Callithrix jacchus: one gene and its partners. The protein of the gene in region 1 purifies or fractionates together with the protein of each later gene. This does not show direct contact. Links are inferred from orthologs where the notes say so. Each region holds a gene or a part of one and is shown in the gene's direction. Other genes may lie near its edges.

Region 1 (5,081 bases):
GCCTTGGTCCCCAAATTCTGTCCCTCTCATCTAGGCCCAGCTCTTCCCCCATGCTCTGATCAGAGCTTCCTCCTGGGATCAAGAGAGAGGGCCACTTGACACTGTCTTGAGCTCCCTCCTGGGGACTGGCAAGAAGGCCACCTGTCACCTGCCACACTGTCTTACAGGATCAGGAGCGCCTGGGCAAACAGCTCAAGTTACGTGCAGAAAGAGAAGAAAAGGAGAAGCTGAAAGAGGAGGCCAAGCGGGCCAAGGAAGAGGCCAAGAAGAAGAAGGAGGAAGAGAAGGAGCTGAAGGAAAAGGAGAGGCGGGAGAAACGGGAGAAGGATGAGAAGGAGAAGGCAGAGAAGCAGCGGCTTAAGGAAGAGCGGCGCAAGGAGAGGCAGGAAGCCCTGGAGTGAGTGCCCTCAGCCGTCCGTGCTGGGCCTACCTCCCCGCTGCTGGATTCCACTTCTGGCCGCTCTGATGGGCCTTTGGTGTTTCGCAGGCAGACTGGGGCTGCCATCAGTTCCTTTCTGTTTCTCCTGTGTGAGCTGCACGTGCGTCCCCGACGTGGGAGCAGTGGAAAGCAGCTCCCTGCTCTTTTGTGCTCCCCCATGTCCACTCACCCTGGGCCCCTTGTCTCTGCCTGTGACTGTCCTTCCAGTTCCCAACCAACTGAGGCATTTGCATCGCAGGAATATGGGTTTTGTTTGTGGTAATTTTGCATCGGCTGGCTAAAGTCTTTTATATATATATATTCTAGTCGCAGGAAGAGTTTCATTGTCTATTTGTCGTTTTTATTGTGAAGGCCTACGTTATAGCTTTATAGTAACGTGGAAGTAACATATTCGTTGCTGCAAAGTTAAATACTTGCCATTTACTAACAGCTGCGTACCGTGGTCCCTTCCAGAACGTAGCAAAGAGTCAGCTGAAATGTCATTTGCTGTCTCACAGGGCCAAACTTGAGGAGAAAAGGAAAAAGGAAGAAGAGAAACGGTTAAGAGAGGAGGAGAAGGTAGCGTGTTTCCTTCAGAACTTCCCCATCCCAGCCCGTTGAAGCAGATGCACAAGGTGGAATTCTAGCCACAGCTGTCGTCTTAACGTTCTCTTGGTTTGAGGAAACCAAATGGCGCCCCCAGGAGGGACGAATCTCTAGATGCATCCTTTCGCTTCTTCTCAGTGCTGGTCTGTCACACGCCTACTGGCCCCATACCCTGGCACTTCCACCCACAAGGGCAACTCGGACATTTTGAGACTGGCTGGCATGGTTGCGGGTCTGTGGGTTTTGAGAGCTAAAAAAATCACAGCAGAGCCTTTGAGATAACATGCTTGAGTTTTGGTGCTGGGGGACATTTGCATGTTTTGAAGCGTGCACCGTGTCTTTTCCGCTCTTCTTTCTCATCATTTTCTCTTACATCACAGCGTATTAAAGCAGAGAAGGCTGAAATCACCAGGTTCTTCCAGAAACCAAAGACTCCACAGGCCCCCAAGGTGAGCAGCCGGCTGCCTTTGCTTTCCAGTTTCGGCTGTTTTCTCTCTGAAATTGAAAGGATCTGGCACCAGCCAGCTTCTCTGATCATGAGGCACGGAGCCTCTGGTAAGCCAGGAAAGTTCGTTTTGGTAAACTCTTGAGGCTCAATATTTTGTCTTCGCTTTGACCCAAAAAAGGTAAAAAGTGGCGTGTCTGATTAAAAAGTGCTGTTTTCAGAGGCTGCTTCTGAGTAATTTTGTGTTAGGCGTTAAGAGAAGTTAACCATGTTTTTACCCTTGGGAAACTTAGGCTTGAGGGGCAAACATAGCCGCAAAACAGTAGAATTCACAAAGATTTACTTTCCCCACCTGGCGTTGGTCACCTGACAGCTCAGACCTTCTGAGCCACCATCTGTGCGTGGAAACCACAGCCCTCCGTCCCTTTTACCCAGAGGGAGCCTGTCTCCGATGTTAGCGGGCCTTCAGTGCCTTTCCCTGCTCCACTCACTGTCTGTTCATACATGTGTGTACTTAGCTGTCTCGGGTATGTGTCATATTGCCATATTTAGGTGGATTTCATTCTTTTTAATGTATCTATCTGCCGTTTATTTATTTATTTTTGAGACCGGGTCACACACTGTCACTTAGGCTGGAGTGCAGCGTCACAGTCAGAGCTCACTACAGTCTTGACCTCTCAGGCTCAGGTGATCCTCCCACCTCAGCCTTCGGAGTAGCTGGGACTACAGGCATATGCCACCACACCTGGCTAATTTTTTTTTTTTTTTTGAGACAGAGTCTCACTCTCGCCTAGGCTGGAGTGCAGTGGCGCAGTCTTGGCTCCCTGGGGTCAGGTGAATCTCCTGCCTTAGCCTCCTGAGTAGCTGGAATTACAGGTGCTCACCACCACGCACAGCTAATTTTTGTATTTGTAGAAGAGACAGCGTTTTCCCATGTTGGCCAGTGTGGTCTCAAACTCCTGACCTCAAGTGATCTGCCCACCTCAGCCTCCCAAAGTGCTGGGATTATGGGCATGAGCCACTGCGCCCGGCCTAATTTCTAAATTTTTTTGTACAGACGGGATTTTGCTGTGTTGCCCAGGCTAGTCTTGACCTTCTGGCCTCAAAAGCTTCTCCTAGCCTTGGCCTCTCAAAGTGCTTGGATTGCAGGCGTGAGCCCCTGCTCCTGGCCTATCCTTTTATTTGTATCTCAAAATACTTCACAATTGCATATCTTGAAGGTGCACAACATGACATTGTTGTGCCTACACGTTCCGTAGTGACAAACACAGACCCACGTCATTTCTTTCTCTTTTATTAAAAAAACATATGGACTGCTCCACGAATTTTTGTGTCATCCTTGTGCAGGGGCCGTGCTCATCTTCTCTGTATCGTTCCGATTTTAGTCTATGTGCTGCTGAAGCGAGCACTGTTTTTGTTTGTTCGTTTGTTTTGAGATGGAGTTTTGCTCTTGTTGCCCAGGCTGGAGTGCAGTGGCGTGATCTCAGCTCATCACAACCTCCACCTCCCAGTTTCAAGTGGTTCTCTTGCCTCAGCCTCCCGAGTAGCTGGGATTACAGGCATGTGCCACCACGCCCGGCTGATTTTGTATTTTTAGTTCAGACAGGGTTTCTCCATTTTGATGAGGCTGGTCTCGAACTCCCAACTGCAGATGATTTGCCTGCCTCGGCCTCCCAAAGTGTTGGGATTACAAGCGTGAGCCACTGCGCCTGACCATGTCATTTATTTTCACTGTTGGATAATACTTAATAATGCAATGATATCATGGTTTCTCTCTCTCTCTTTTTTATTTTTATTTTTGAGATGGAGTTTCGCTCTTGTTACCCAGGCTGGAGTGCAATGGCGCGATCTCGGCTCACCGCAACCTCCGCCTCCTGGGTTCAGGCAATTCTCCTGCCTCAACCTCCTGAGTAGCTGGGATTACAGGCACCTGCCACCATGCCCAGCTAATTTTTGTATTTTTAGTAGAGATGGGGTTTCACCATGTTGACCAGGATGGTCTTGATCTCTTGACCTCGTGATCCACCTGCCTTGGCCTCCCAAAGTGCTGGGATTACAGGCTTGAGCCACCGCGCCCGGCCTAAAATTTTATTTATTCATTTGTTTATTTTTTTTTTAAGACGGAATCTTGCTCTGTCACCCAGGTTGGAGTGCTGTGGCTCGATCTTAGCTCACTGCAATCTCCACCTCCCGGGTTTAAGCAGTTCTCCTGCCTTGGCCTTCTTAGTAGCTGGGATTACAGGCACCTGCCACCGTGTCTCACTAATTTTTTATATTTTCAGTAGACACGGTTTTCACCAATTTGGCCAGGTTGATCTCGAACTCCTGACGTGAGATAATGTGCTCACCTCAGCCTCCCTAATTTTATTTGTAGTAGAGATGGGGTCTAACTGTGTTGCCAGGGCTGGTCTTGAACTCCTGGCCTCAGCAGTTCTCTCACCTTAGCCACCCACTGTGCTGGGCTCACAGGCATGAGCCACAGAGCCTGCCGCTATCTCAGCTTCTCTGCCCCTCAGTGGCACAGTAGGGGTTCCTGAGTATGCTTCTCTGCACACATGCGTCCTCTGGGACAGCCAACCTCTAGGACAAAACAGCACATTGCTGAAACGTTGTTAGCCATGGCCAGAGTGCCCGCCAGACAGGAAAACTCAGGTGTACGTGCCTGGCAGTGCCTGACAATGTCTCTTCCTGATTCTGTGATATTAATGGATGGAATGAATTTTAACTTTGCCAGTCTGATGGATTAAAAAAAATTGATATTCTTATTTTACTTTCCATTTTTACTTGACTCTTGGTGCAGTGGAGCATTTTTTTGTGTTGGTTTCCCATTTTAGTTCTTCTGTGACTTGCCAATTCCTATTTTTTACCTATTTTTTTTTTTTAACAGAACTGACTCTTTTTTTTGGCCTGATCTGTAATACAAGTATTTTTTACAGTCTGGTATTTAATCCTCTGATATTTCATCTCAGTCTACTACGTCTTTGTTTACAGAGTCTTTTGTTATACAGAAATTTCTCCTTTTGGCCTTGTGCAGTGGCTCACGACTGTAATCCCAGCACTTGGGGAGGCCAAGGCAAGTGGATCACCTGAAGTCAGGAGTTCGAGACCAGCCTGGCCAACATGGTGAAATCTTGTCTCCAGTAAAAATACAGAAATTAACTGAGCGTGGTGGTGGGCACCTATAATCCTAGCTACTCATGAGACTGAGGCAGGAGAATCCCTTGAATTCGGGAGGAGCGGGTTGCAGTGAGCCAAGATCATGCCAGTGCACTCCAGGCTGCATGATAAAGCGAGATTCCATCTCAGAAAAACAGAGCAGTTGGAGACCAGCCTGGGCGACACGGTAAGACCCTGTCTCTAAATTATTTTTTTTTCTTTTGAGACGGAGTCTCACTCTCGCCCAGGCTGGGGTGCAGTGGCACCATGTTGGCTCAGTGCACCCTCCACCTCCTGGGTTCAAGTGATTCTTCTGCCTCAGCCTCCCTAATAGTGGGACTACAGGTGCCCACCACCACCCCTTGCTAAGTTTTTTATTTTTTTGTAGAGACAGGATTTCACCATGTTGTCCAGGCTGGTCTTGAACTCCTGACCTTAGGTGATCCACTGTCTTTG
Region 2 (5,603 bases), about 8.7 Mb from region 1:
AAAGACATGGCCGGGCGCAGTGGCTCACACCTGTAATCCCAGCACTCTGGAAGGCCGAGGTGGGCAGATCACTTGAAGTCAGGAGTTCAAGACCAGCCTGGCCAACATGGTGAAACCCTGTCTCTATTAAAAATACACACACGAAATTAGCTGGTTGTGGTGGTGCACACCTGTAATCCCAGCTACTCAGGAGACAGGCAGGAGAACCGCTTGAACCCGGGAGGTGGTGGCTGCAGTGAGTCGAGATCGTACCACTGCACTTCAGCCTGGGTAGGTGAGTGAGACTCCGTCTCAAAAAAAAAAAAAAATACAAAAATTGAGCTCGTGGAAGACTCTGAAGTACGTCGAGAATAGTAGGAATGTGTGAATCTACATTTTCAACTGCAAACCTTATGAAACATAAGAAACCAGATCAACGATTTTTTGAAGAAAATGTATTCACATGCCCGATGACAGACGTGCAGCTGAGTGTACAACACAAGGAATCTCAACGTCTTTTCACTGGGTAAAAGAACGCAACACGCTGTGTGTTAGCGGCTCAGAGCTGTGGCTCACGCCTGTAATTCTTGCACTTTTGGGAGCCTGAGGCGGGCGGATCACTTGAGGTCAGGGGTTCGAGACCAGTCCGACCAACATGGAGAAACTCCGTCTCTACGAAAAAACAAAAATTACCCAGGCATGGTGGTGTGCGCCTGTAATCCCAACTACTCCGGGGTGGCTGAGGAAGGAGAGTCTCTTGAACCTGGGAGGTGGAGGTTGCAGTGAGCCAAGATGGAACCACTGCACTCCAGCCTGGGCCACACAGCGAGACTCGGTTTTTTTTTAAGTGGCTTCCAAAAAATGTATAATTAGGTGCGCGGCAGGCATTACTTTTCCACTGGGCAGCGCTGATTTCCCGTGGGACAGTCTCCCAGGCGACGGCCCAGGTGGGATGCGGCGGAGAGAAGTTTCTGGATGTATTATGTGGTCATGAGTCATGCCAGGGAATTTCCACGGCCCGTTCAATGGGAAGGGAGACGCTGCCTCGAAAGCCGAGTAGCAGAGCACCGACTCGAACTGGAACTCCCATTTTCAGTTCCGTCCGCTTGAAACCTCCCAAGAGCCCACCAGGGGGCGAGAAAGGGATTCCAACCCCTCGGGGGCAAGAACGGGATCCAAACTCGGCCAGACTCCCGAGGTCCGAGCGCGGCGCGTGACCGCCACTCCGAACGTTCACAACGTTCACAACGGACACCCGGGCTGCTGCACCTCGAGGTCAGGAGCCAGCCACTCAGAAAAGCTCCAGCAGACGCTCACCTGTTGAACAGACGCTGAGGCCGCAAACGCTCCTCCTCTCTCTTCACACACCCCGGCACCAGGGTAACTCCCACTTCCGCTTCTCTCCAACTAATCCCCAGCTGAGCCTCCTTAGGCTCCCGCTTTCATTACCAATCCAGCCAATCAACTCTCAAAAAACCCTCTTTATCTCCGCCCCACTCCCTCCTGCCAATCACTGGGGGTGCGAGCACCGCCCTTCCCGCCTTCTTTAGCGAGCACCGCGCGCCACCGCTCGGCGGTTGGCGGCGCTGCGCGCTGCGGGATACATATCCCGGAATAGTGGGGCGAGGGGCGGGCCACGCCGGTGCGGGAACCCTCAGGATTGGCCAGCAGGAGGCCGGCGCTCTGACTCTGTCCACTCCTGCCGTTGACCTCCTAGTCGGAGACGCTGGGGATTGGTTCCCAGAGGACACGCTAAGAAGCCTGGAGGTGGTTCCACCCTCCTCACGCTCCGCGGAGAGGGAGCTCCGCTGATTGGTCCAAGGAGTCTGGGCGCGCGCCGACTGGCGCTCCAGGATTGGCTGAGAGGGTGCGCGCGCCGCCAGGGAGCGTTGGCGGTGATTGGCCAGAGGGCGGAGGCCGGCTATTTGAAGGCGGCGCGCGTACGAGATGCGCACTTCAGTCCGCGGAGGGAAGAGTTTGGAGTGGGTTTTGTCAACCCTACCCCGCTGACCTCACCACCGGACCCAGACGCGGCCTCGGCCACAGCCCCTGCCCCTGCCCCTGCTGCAGCGCAGTGAGGCGAGGCGAGGCGATGGCCAAGGTGTCGGTGTTGAACGTGGCGGTACTGGAGAACCCGAGCCCTTTCCACAGCCCCTTCCGGTTCGAGATCAGCTTCGAGTGCAGTGAAGCCCTGGCGGACGGTGAGGCTGGGATTGTGCGGGTTAATCCCCACCCTCGGGCCGACCCCGGCCTCCCCGCGGAAAACTGCTCTCATGGCCAACTTGATCTCCCCCATGAAACTCCTCGTCCTCCCTCTCAGCTAACCCCGATCTCCCCCAGCCCGCCAGTCAACCCGGTGTCCGGGTGGAGACCCCCCCCCCCCCAGTCACCAGCCAACCTGGACCTCCCCGGGACTTCCTTCCCCACTGCCCGCATTGACCTCCCGGGTGGAGGCTTCCCGCTAGCCAACTCGGACATCCCAGTGATCTTCGCCACTGCCCGCCCCAACCTCCCCATAGAGATTAACGCCCCCCACCCAAGCCCCATTTCCAGCGTGGGGAGCCTCATCCATCTTTTTTCTTTGGAGCTCTTCCGAGGTACCCATTTTCATGCAGAGACCTTCTCGGCCTCTATTTCTTAACCCACGGAGATCTTCAGCCACTGTGGCTTCCCTGTGGCAAGACCCCTGTTTCAGCCACCCACCCATTTTTGCCCACTTAGACTCTTTCCTATAGTGAGATACTCCCATCTCCCTTTTTCCCTCTGGAGACCCCACTCTCCAGCCCCTTCCCATTTTTCCCGGGGAAAATCCCAGCCATTTTCTATTTCCCCTATGGAGACCTCTCCCCCAACTCCCTTCTCCCCCCACCGTGAAGACCCTCCCCTCCAGTAACCTTTTTTCCCTATGAAAACCCGTCAATCCCTTGTCAAGACCGCTCTCTTCCCCCATCTTCCCATCTGTCTCCCGGCTCTCCCCTCCCCAACCTGCCGATATTTCAATAACCCTGCCCCCCACCAATTGCTGCTGGTTTTCTACCCCAATGCACATACCCTGGAACCTGATTTCCCTCCTTCGTTGGGGCCCAACCTCCCTATCCCTGAGCTCCCCCGGGGAAGGATGCTACCCTTTGCAGTAACTTGGTCTCCCCAGCTCCCTTTCCCCACCCTCTTCTGTGGGCTTGGACATACACGCTGAGATCCGAGGGGTGGCATAGCCAGGCAGGCATTAGTAGTTCCCCAGGTTTGCCCGCCCATTTCCAGCTGACTGACTGCAGCAATTCTTCGCTTTTTCTTCTTTTTTTGAAAGAGAGTCTTGCTCTGTTGCCCAGGCTGGAGTGCAGTGGCACTTCACTGCAACTTCAGCCTCCTGAGTAGCTGGGATTACAGGCGCCTGCCACTACGCCCGGCTAATTTTAGTATTTTTAGTAGAGGCGGGGTTTCACCACGTTAGCCAGGCTGGTTGCGAACTATGGACTATAAGTGATCCACCCACCTTGTCCTCCCAAAATGCTGGGATTATAGGCACAGGCCACCACAGCTGGCCAATTTTAGTATTTTTAGTAGGGTTTCACCATGTTAGGCAGGCTGGTCTCGAACTCCTAACCTTGTGATCCACCTGCCTCAGGCTCCCAAAGTGCTGGGATTACACGGGCATGAGGCACTGCGCCTAGTTTTCTTCTTGTTTCTTCTTCTTCTTCCTTTCTTCTTTTATATAGCTGGATAATCAGTGCCAAGCTTCCATTGCTTTTGATGGTCTGACCTAGTCTGGGGGTGGGTGGACTGGGCTGAGCTCTGACAGGCTCCAGCTTCAAACAGTCAGCTGGAGCTTAGGGGTCACAGCCTCTTACGCATCTTTTCCAAGGTGCTTCCGCAGATGTACTTATTAATCTGTGTGACTTAAAGGTGCACATGGCTCTCATCTCACAGATGAGAGGACAGGAGGCACAAAGCGCAAAAGACCTTTCACGTCAAGGCTTGTACAATCCAGAATCTAAGGTCACCCAGGGAGCCTTGGCACCACTAAAAGGCGAGTCCTGCTTTCAGGAAGAAGTACTTCATTAGGCCATTTTTCTACTTGGTGGTTAAAAGAGAAAAGGCACAGCCGAGGAGGTGGCCGTGCAGTGGCCTGTGAAGCCGGGGGTGCTAACTAGTGCCTCTTGGGGTCAGGTGGGTGGTTTCCCCTCCAAGCTGGTGGCGTGTATTAGCTCGGGGCTGATACAGTGAGATTCAGATGTGCTCTGGGTAGGCCAGTAGGTCCACCTCTTCCTGAGGAGTCTACTTGTGGCTAACTATAGAATAAGCCAAGTTAAATCCTTTCTGGAACAGGGCAGCATGTAAATAAATAAAGTGTAGAATGTCACTGTGGAATAAGATTTAATTTAAAAGCCAGGAGGAGATGGAAGGAGGTAATAGGCTGAGGGATTCCCAGCTTCCAGGCGGCAGGAGATCGGGTTTCAATCAGCCTGTTTGTGTTCCTTGCATTTACAAATGGTGATGCGGTCATTATCTGATACTTCTACTCCTAGGAAGCTCCTGTCCTGTGACTTTACTAACTTACTTAGAGAATTAGTTGGAAAGGCTAAAGTCAACCTGCTGGTATTTTTTTTTTTTTGAGACAGAGTGTTGCTCTGTTGCCCGGGCTGGTGTGCAGTGGCACGATCTTGGCTCATTGCAACCTCTGCCTCCTGGGTTCAAGCAATTCTGCCTCAGCCTCCTGTGTAGTTGGGACTACAGGCACGCACCTCCATGGCTGGCTAATTTAGTAGAGATGGGATTTCACCACGTTAGTCAGGCTAGTCTCGAACTCCTGAACACAAGACTTGGCCTCCAAAAGTGCTGGGATTACAGGCATGAGCCACCTCACCTGGCCCTGCTGGTCATTTTTTAATAGAAATGGAATGACTTGGCGGGGCACAGTGGCTCACGCCTATAATCCCAGCGCTTTGGGAGGCCGAGGCGGGTGGATCACGAGGTCAAGAGATCAAGACTATCCTGGTCAACAAGGTGAAACCCCTTGTCGATACAAAAATTAGCTGGGCATGGTGGTGCGTGCCTGTAGTCCCAGCTACTCGGGGGGCTGAGGCAGGAGAATTGCTTAAACCCAGAAGGCGGAGGTTGTGGTGAGCCGAGATTGTGCCATTGCACTCCACTCTGGGTAACAACAGCGAAACTCCATCTCAAAAAAAAAAATGAAATGGAATGACTTCTCAGGGGTCACACAGCCAATTTATAGAAGTATTGTCACTGATTTCTGAATCTAAGTTCTTTATCTTCACAATCTTTATCTTTCCAATTCAGGGAAAGAAAGGAAGGATTCCCTATTTCAGAGGTGGAGCATAGATAACGAACGACCATAGAATGTATTGCCAAATGAGGACACTCAAAACTCAGTGAAGGGGTGTGCTATTATTATTATTTATTTTTGAGATGGGGTCTCACTCTAGTGTCACCCAGGCTACAGTGCAGTGGCGCAATCTCAGCTCACTGCACTCTCCACCGCCTGAGTTTAAGCGATTCTCCAGCCTCAGCCTCCCAGGTAGCTGGGACTACCAGTGTGTGCCACCACGCCTGGCTAATTTTTGTATTTTTGGTAGAAACAAGGTTTTACCATGTTGGCCAAGCTA
Region 3 (5,870 bases), on another chromosome or scaffold:
CGAGGCGGGTGGATCACGAGGTCAAGAGATCGAGACCATCCTGGTCAACAGGGTGAAACCCCGTCTCCACTAAAAATAACAAAAAATTAGCTGGGCATGGTGGCGAGTGCCTGTAATCCCAGCTGCTCAGGAGGCTGAGGCAGTAGAATTGCCTGAACCCGGGAGGCGGAGGTTGCGGTGAGCCGAGATCGCACCATTGCACTCCAGCCTGGGTAACAAGAGCGAAACTCCATCTCAAAAAAATAAAATTAAAATAAAGTAATAAAGTCACCTTCTCCTGCTAGAAGTTCTATTCACTTGCTGACTGGATAGGTGAAAAGAGAGTAAAGCAGAAAGTTTAAAACACACGCACGCACACACGCGCACACACACACACACACACATCTGAGGTGAAGAAAGATGAAGGAAACCTTGATCAGCTCCATTTTCTGCCAGGTAGGAGAGAATTTTCTTTATCCAACAAATGTTGATTGATAACTTTATGCAAGGGACTGTGTTGGGCACTGGAAGTATAGTGGTGACAATACAAGGCAGAGTTTCTATTTACGGGAGTTTTGAGTCCAGAAGCGAAGACAGACTTTAAGGACAAGAAAGTGGGTGAATGTCATGATGGCAGTCTAAATTTTCATATTAATGAGATTTGGGACAACAATCTAGTTGAAATCAGAAAAACCAGAACATATCTCAAACGATAACAAACAAGGTTTTTTCCTAATTGTGTGTTTCTTTGGGATGACTGGGTGAAAGGTGTGCATGGAGGTTAAAGGGTCGGCACTAATGCCAATGAAAAAGGGGACATTTTCGTGGTGCACCCAATGATTAGGTGGAAATTCAGGAAGCTATGAGACACCTATGGGGGACTCTAGGGAATCAGGGAAGGCCTCAAAGGGGAATTAATCTTTTTTCTTTTTTTTTTTTTGAGACAAAGTGTCACTCTGCCACCCAGGCTGGAGGGCAATGGCATGATCTCGGTTCACTGCAACCTCCACCTCCCGGGTTCAAGCAATTCTCTGCCTCAGCCAACCAAGTAGCTGGGATTACAGGCACCCACCACCATGCCCAGCTAATTTTTGTATTTTTAGTAGAGACAGGATTTCACCATCTTGGTCAGGCTGAACTCCTGGTCTGGTGATCCACCAACGTTGTCCTCCCAAAGTGCTGGGATTACAGGCGTGAGCCACTGCACCCAGCCAGGGGAATTAATCTTAACACTGAGTAGGTTTTTTTTTTTAGATGGAGTTTTGTTTGTTGCCCAGGCTGGAGTGCAATGGTGCGATCTCAGCTCACTGCCACCTCCGCCTCCTGGGTTCAAGCAATTCTCCTGCCTCAGCCTCCCAAGTAGCTGGGATTACAGGTGGCACCACCATGCCCAGCTAATTTTTGTACTTTTAGTGGAGACGGGGTTTCACCATGTTGGCGAGGCTGGTCTTGAACGCCTGACCTCAGGTGATCCACACACCTCGGCCTCCCAAAATGTTGGGATTATAGGCTTGAGCCCCCGCACTCCGCCTTAAGAGGAGTTTTGCAGAGATTTGAGGAGGCGGAGATTGAGGACTACAGAAACGGTTGGAAATTTGAGGAGGCGGAGATATAATAAAGTTCTGGTTAAGAACATAAGATTAAAAAATTCAAGGATGTGAATTACCTAACTGTCCAGAAGTGGTTGATTTTTTGGGCCAAGCATCAAAGGGCTCATTTATAAAAATCACATGTCCTGGTCGGGTGCAGTGGCTCATGCCTGTAATCCCAGCACTTTGGAAGGCCGAGGCGGGCGGCTCACGAGGTCAAGAGATCGAGACCATCCTGGCCAACATGGTGAAACCCCGTCTCCACTAAAAAATACAAAAATTAGCTAGGTGTGGTGGCGCGCGCCTGTAGTCCCAGCTACTCGGGAAGCTGAGGCAGGAGAATTGCTTGAACCTGGGAGGCGGAGGTTGCAGTGAGCCAAGATCGCGCCGCTGCACTCCAGCCTGGGGACAGAGCGAGACTCCGTCTCAAAAAAAAAAAAATTATGTTCTAATTTTCTAGGTTACAACGCTCAACGCTGCAGTCGCTCCGCCGTTACAGTTTAAAACCTCGAAGTCCCTACCACCCTCGCCTACTGTGCGTGCGCAGCGCGCGGCACTTCGGGCCCTGTAGTCTTGGACTGATCCCGCGGACCAGGGTGCCATGCGGCGGGTCGCCGCGCCTGCGCGGTGCGGGCGGCGGGCAGAGCAGAGTGCGAGGCTCTTTTGTTCGGTTGAGGGGAGGGCCCTTGGCCTGGGCCTGCGGTACGCCGCTCCAGTGAGGTGCTCCATTGCGGCCACCGGGCTTGCTGCCTTCCTGGGCGCCACTCCCCCGGCCGACCCGACACGACGCGCCAGCAGCGCAGCACCGATTCCTCTCCGGCTGTTAGGCGCTGCTCTGAGGTGAGGAGCCCGCTGGAGGCGGGAGAGCTGGGGGAGGGGGCACGGTGGCGGCGGCGGCGGGAGCCCTGCGTGGGGGCCCGCGCTTTCGAGGCAGAGGTTGGGGGCGGGGAGCGGGGAGCGCGCCCGGGTCCAGCGTCCTGTTTTTCCACTTCCCGCGCTGAGCTCTCCGCCTGGCGCTGAGGCGTCGTTGCCAGCTGCGAGAAGGATGGGGAGGGCGGGGCGCGAATCCTGAGCCAGAGACTGAAGCTCTTCAGGGTGGGCCGAGCAGTTGGGGACCGCTTTTCCGGGCCCGCGTAGTCCGGGACAATGCTGCTTGGGTTGGGTGGGCGTCTGGGGATAGGGCTGGAGAGAAAACACCTTACAAGATTGGGAAGGGGACAGGCTTGAGGCTTGGATAGGTGTGGGGAGGAGCTGACGACCGCGAGACCCGAGGTTTGTAACTGTAATCGGAGGACGCCGGGTCCCGCCGGGGCTGCCAGAGAAACCTGGCTTTGCAGGACTACGGAAGAGTAACTTGGAGTTAATTGGAAAGAGGGCCCTGGGCCGCACAAAGTGTGCCGATTGGTGGAGGAGATGGAATAAATTGGGAAGGGGGGCACGGAGGGGGAGGGGCAAGCGTTTGCTGGGCCTGGCTCTGGAGGGGGAGGAGCTGTTAGGATATGTAGGGCGGAGATCCGGAGAATATTTCTGTAAGGTGTGTAAGGGAAAAGGGGAAAGCAGGCCGCCCTTGCTTCCTGATGGGTCCTTTCAGTGGGGAGGCTGTAAAATAATACGTGAAGAAAGGATTGAATACGCTTTCTTCACTTTTCCAGGTTTCCTACTGCCTTTGCTCCATGATTCCTTTGGGGAGTTAAGTCCAAGTGCAGCTCTTGCTTTGATTCAAAGTTAGTTCCATAAGTTTTTGTCTGGGATCGTTACTGGTCTCACAAAGGTGATAAAATTGTAAAATGCGTAGGTGAGTTAACAGTTAAGGAATGGAGTGAGGTAGTGATGACATCGTGTAAGGTAGGAGAAATTGGGAGACAGGAAGAGCAAGTATGTGAGATTGTGAGATAATACTTGTTTAGTGGGCCCTTCTGTTTTTTAGCCAGGTTTTCCTTTTTGGAAACTTTGAATACAGAGTGAGCAGTATTTTACCTCTTTTCCAACTATTTAGATGAGGGTTTTTCGTGAATTGATGTTACATTTAGACTTGTGTTGGTTTAAGTCAGTTGAGGTGGAATTTACAAAAAGATAGCTATAATCTGTTATACTAGAACCTCTAGCCTAGGGTAAAGTAGCCTTCTCAGTTGTGTTAAGAATCACACCAGCAGTTTGGAAAAATTGTGAAAGGTCCAAGGCTTTGGAATAGATTCAGGAATACAATGGGGAAATTAATGCCGGTGTTCCTCCTTAGGTGCCTTACAGACTTTTATAGGAAAGTGGTGAGATTGAAAATCCCTTGTATTGAAACCAGTTGCACCTTAATGAAGCTTCAGGGCAGCGGAGGACCTGAAGTCATTTACGATTTTCCCTGTGGTAATATTTTTCTTCAATGGCTGCTGTTATTCTAAATTATTTTTCACTAAAAATGTAAATAATGGGGCCGGGGATGGTGGCTCACGCCTGTCATCCCAGTACTTTGAGAGGCTGAGGTGGGCAGATCACCTGATGTCAGGAGTTTGAGACCACCCTGGCCAACATGGTGAAACCCCGTGTCGACTAACAATACCAAAATTAGCCAGGTGTAGTGTGCACACACCTGTAGTCTCAGTTCTTCGGGTGGCGGAGGCAGGAAAATAGCTCGAACCTGAGGCAGAGGTTACAGTGAGATGAGATGGCACCACTGCACTCCAGCCTGGCAACAGAGGGAGACTGTCTCAAAAAAAAAAAAAAGAAATAGTTTTGAATGTAAATAGAAGCCTAGTGCTTATAGCTTCCATATTAAAGGAGACCAAGTAAGGTACCCTAGTCTTCTGCATTTTATAAACCATATCTCCAAAGAAAAGAAGCAATCACTCTTGTGCCCATTTTAAGGACTAGGAAAATGTTTCTTTTTGTTGTTCACACCATTTGAAAAGAATTCCTTAAATTTTGGCATACTCTAGTGGTTTATCTAGCAAAACCTCCCTTTTTAAAAAATATCCTGGCTGGGCACGGTGGCTCAAGCCTGTAATCCCAGCACTTTGGGAGGCTGAGGCGGGTGGATCACGAGGTCAAGAGATCGAGATCATCCTGGTCAACATGGTGAAACCCCGTCTCTACTAAAAATACAAAAAATTAGCTGGGCATGGTGACGCGTCCCTGTAATCCCAGCTACTCAGGAGGCTGAGGCAGGAGAATTGCCTGAACCCAGGAGGCAGAGGTTGCGGTGAGCCGAGATCGCGCCATTGCACTCCAGTCTGGGTAACAAGAGCGAAACTCCGTCTCAAAACAAACAAACAAAAAAATATCCTATCTGCGGTGGTATAAGAGATTTTCCATTAGATTTGGTAGATTTTCACTTCATAGGTTCTTTCCATAAAGAGTTTTTGGAGTAGAAGGCTAATTGCTAGTTTATGGACTCCCATAAAATGGGCCATACCTCTTGTTCATCAGTGCCTGCCACATAGTAGGCTGTTCAGATTGTTGATGCATGGGGGGGCGTTGAGATCCATTCTCAGAACTCTGTGTTAGCCAAATTAATGTGCATTTACATATTTAGTAGTTTGCTTGTCTTATTATCTGTGACATTTGGCAGAGTTAAACTGTTGTCTTTGGCATGCTTGTCTTAGCCTCAGTTTCTTTTTTGTTGTTGTTGTTGTTGTTTTTGTTTTTTTAGACAGGGTCTCACTCTGTTGCCAGGCTGGAGTGCAGTGGTGGTATCATGGCTAATTGCAGCCTCACAAGCAATCCTCCCACCACAGCCTCTTGAGTAGCTAGGACTACAGGCTCATGCCACCATGCATGGCTTCTTTTTTTGTAGAGACAGTCTCTGTTGCCCAGACTGATTAGCCTCAGTTTTGTACTCACTCTGGTACTAAATATAGTAGAAGTATACAGACTGTGCAGTTGGCCATTTTAAATACCTTAGGCCTCAGATTCTGGGTTTCATCAGCAAGCAAAATAGCTTGAATATATCTGTTTTAAAAGAATCTTGAAAAATCTTTGTGTCCTTTATATTGACCTGAGTAGTAATATACCAGTAGTGATGTCTGTTGAAAAACTGAATAGCACCTGGCGCAGTTGGCTCATGCCTATAATCCTAGCATTTTGGGAGGCCAAGGCGGGTGGACCACCTGAGGTCAGAAGTTTAAGACCAGCCTGGCCAACATGGCGAAACCCCGTCTCTACTAAAAATACAAAAAAAATGGCCGGGCACAGTGGCTCACACCTGTAATCCTAACACTTTGGGAGGCCAGGGCTGGCAGATCAGGAGGTCAAGAGATTGAGACCATCCTGGCCAACATAGTGAAACCCCGTCTCTACTAAAATACGAAAGTT

The links. Proteins that work in one complex are often made in the same cells at the same time.
Region 2: the proteins of CHAF1A (region 1) and ASF1B purify together in Homo sapiens (co-immunoprecipitation; 7 studies listed by BioGRID and IntAct, counting the BioPlex papers as one, with this or other methods). This does not show direct contact. The link is inferred for Callithrix jacchus from reciprocal best matches to the Homo sapiens genes CHAF1A and ASF1B.
Region 3: the proteins of CHAF1A (region 1) and CBX1 purify together in Homo sapiens (affinity purification with mass spectrometry; 4 studies listed by BioGRID and IntAct, with this or other methods). This does not show direct contact. The link is inferred for Callithrix jacchus from reciprocal best matches to the Homo sapiens genes CHAF1A and CBX1.

Annotation. Positions count from the first base shown.
Region 1 is NC_133523.1:4,173,896-4,178,976, forward strand, and holds part of CHAF1A (chromatin assembly factor 1 subunit A), read left to right. Parts: intron 1-167; coding exon 168-397; intron 398-936; coding exon 937-997; intron 998-1,404; coding exon 1,405-1,473; intron 1,474-2,771; exon of another isoform or gene 2,772-2,878; intron 2,879-5,081. UniProt on the Homo sapiens protein: Acts as a component of the histone chaperone complex chromatin assembly factor 1 (CAF-1), which assembles histone octamers onto DNA during replication and repair.
Region 2 is NC_133523.1:12,909,962-12,915,564, reverse strand, and holds the start of ASF1B (histone chaperone ASF1B), read left to right. Parts: upstream 1-1,930; 5' UTR 1,931-2,071; coding exon 2,072-2,180; intron 2,181-5,603. UniProt on the Homo sapiens protein: Histone chaperone that facilitates histone deposition and histone exchange and removal during nucleosome assembly and disassembly. Cooperates with chromatin assembly factor 1 (CAF-1) to promote replication-dependent chromatin assembly.
Region 3 is NC_133506.1:118,185,967-118,191,836, forward strand, and holds the start of CBX1 (chromobox protein homolog 1), read left to right. Parts: upstream 1-2,197; 5' UTR 2,198-2,408; intron 2,409-5,870. UniProt on the Homo sapiens protein: Component of heterochromatin. Recognizes and binds histone H3 tails methylated at 'Lys-9', leading to epigenetic repression. Interaction with lamin B receptor (LBR) can contribute to the association of the heterochromatin with the inner nuclear membrane.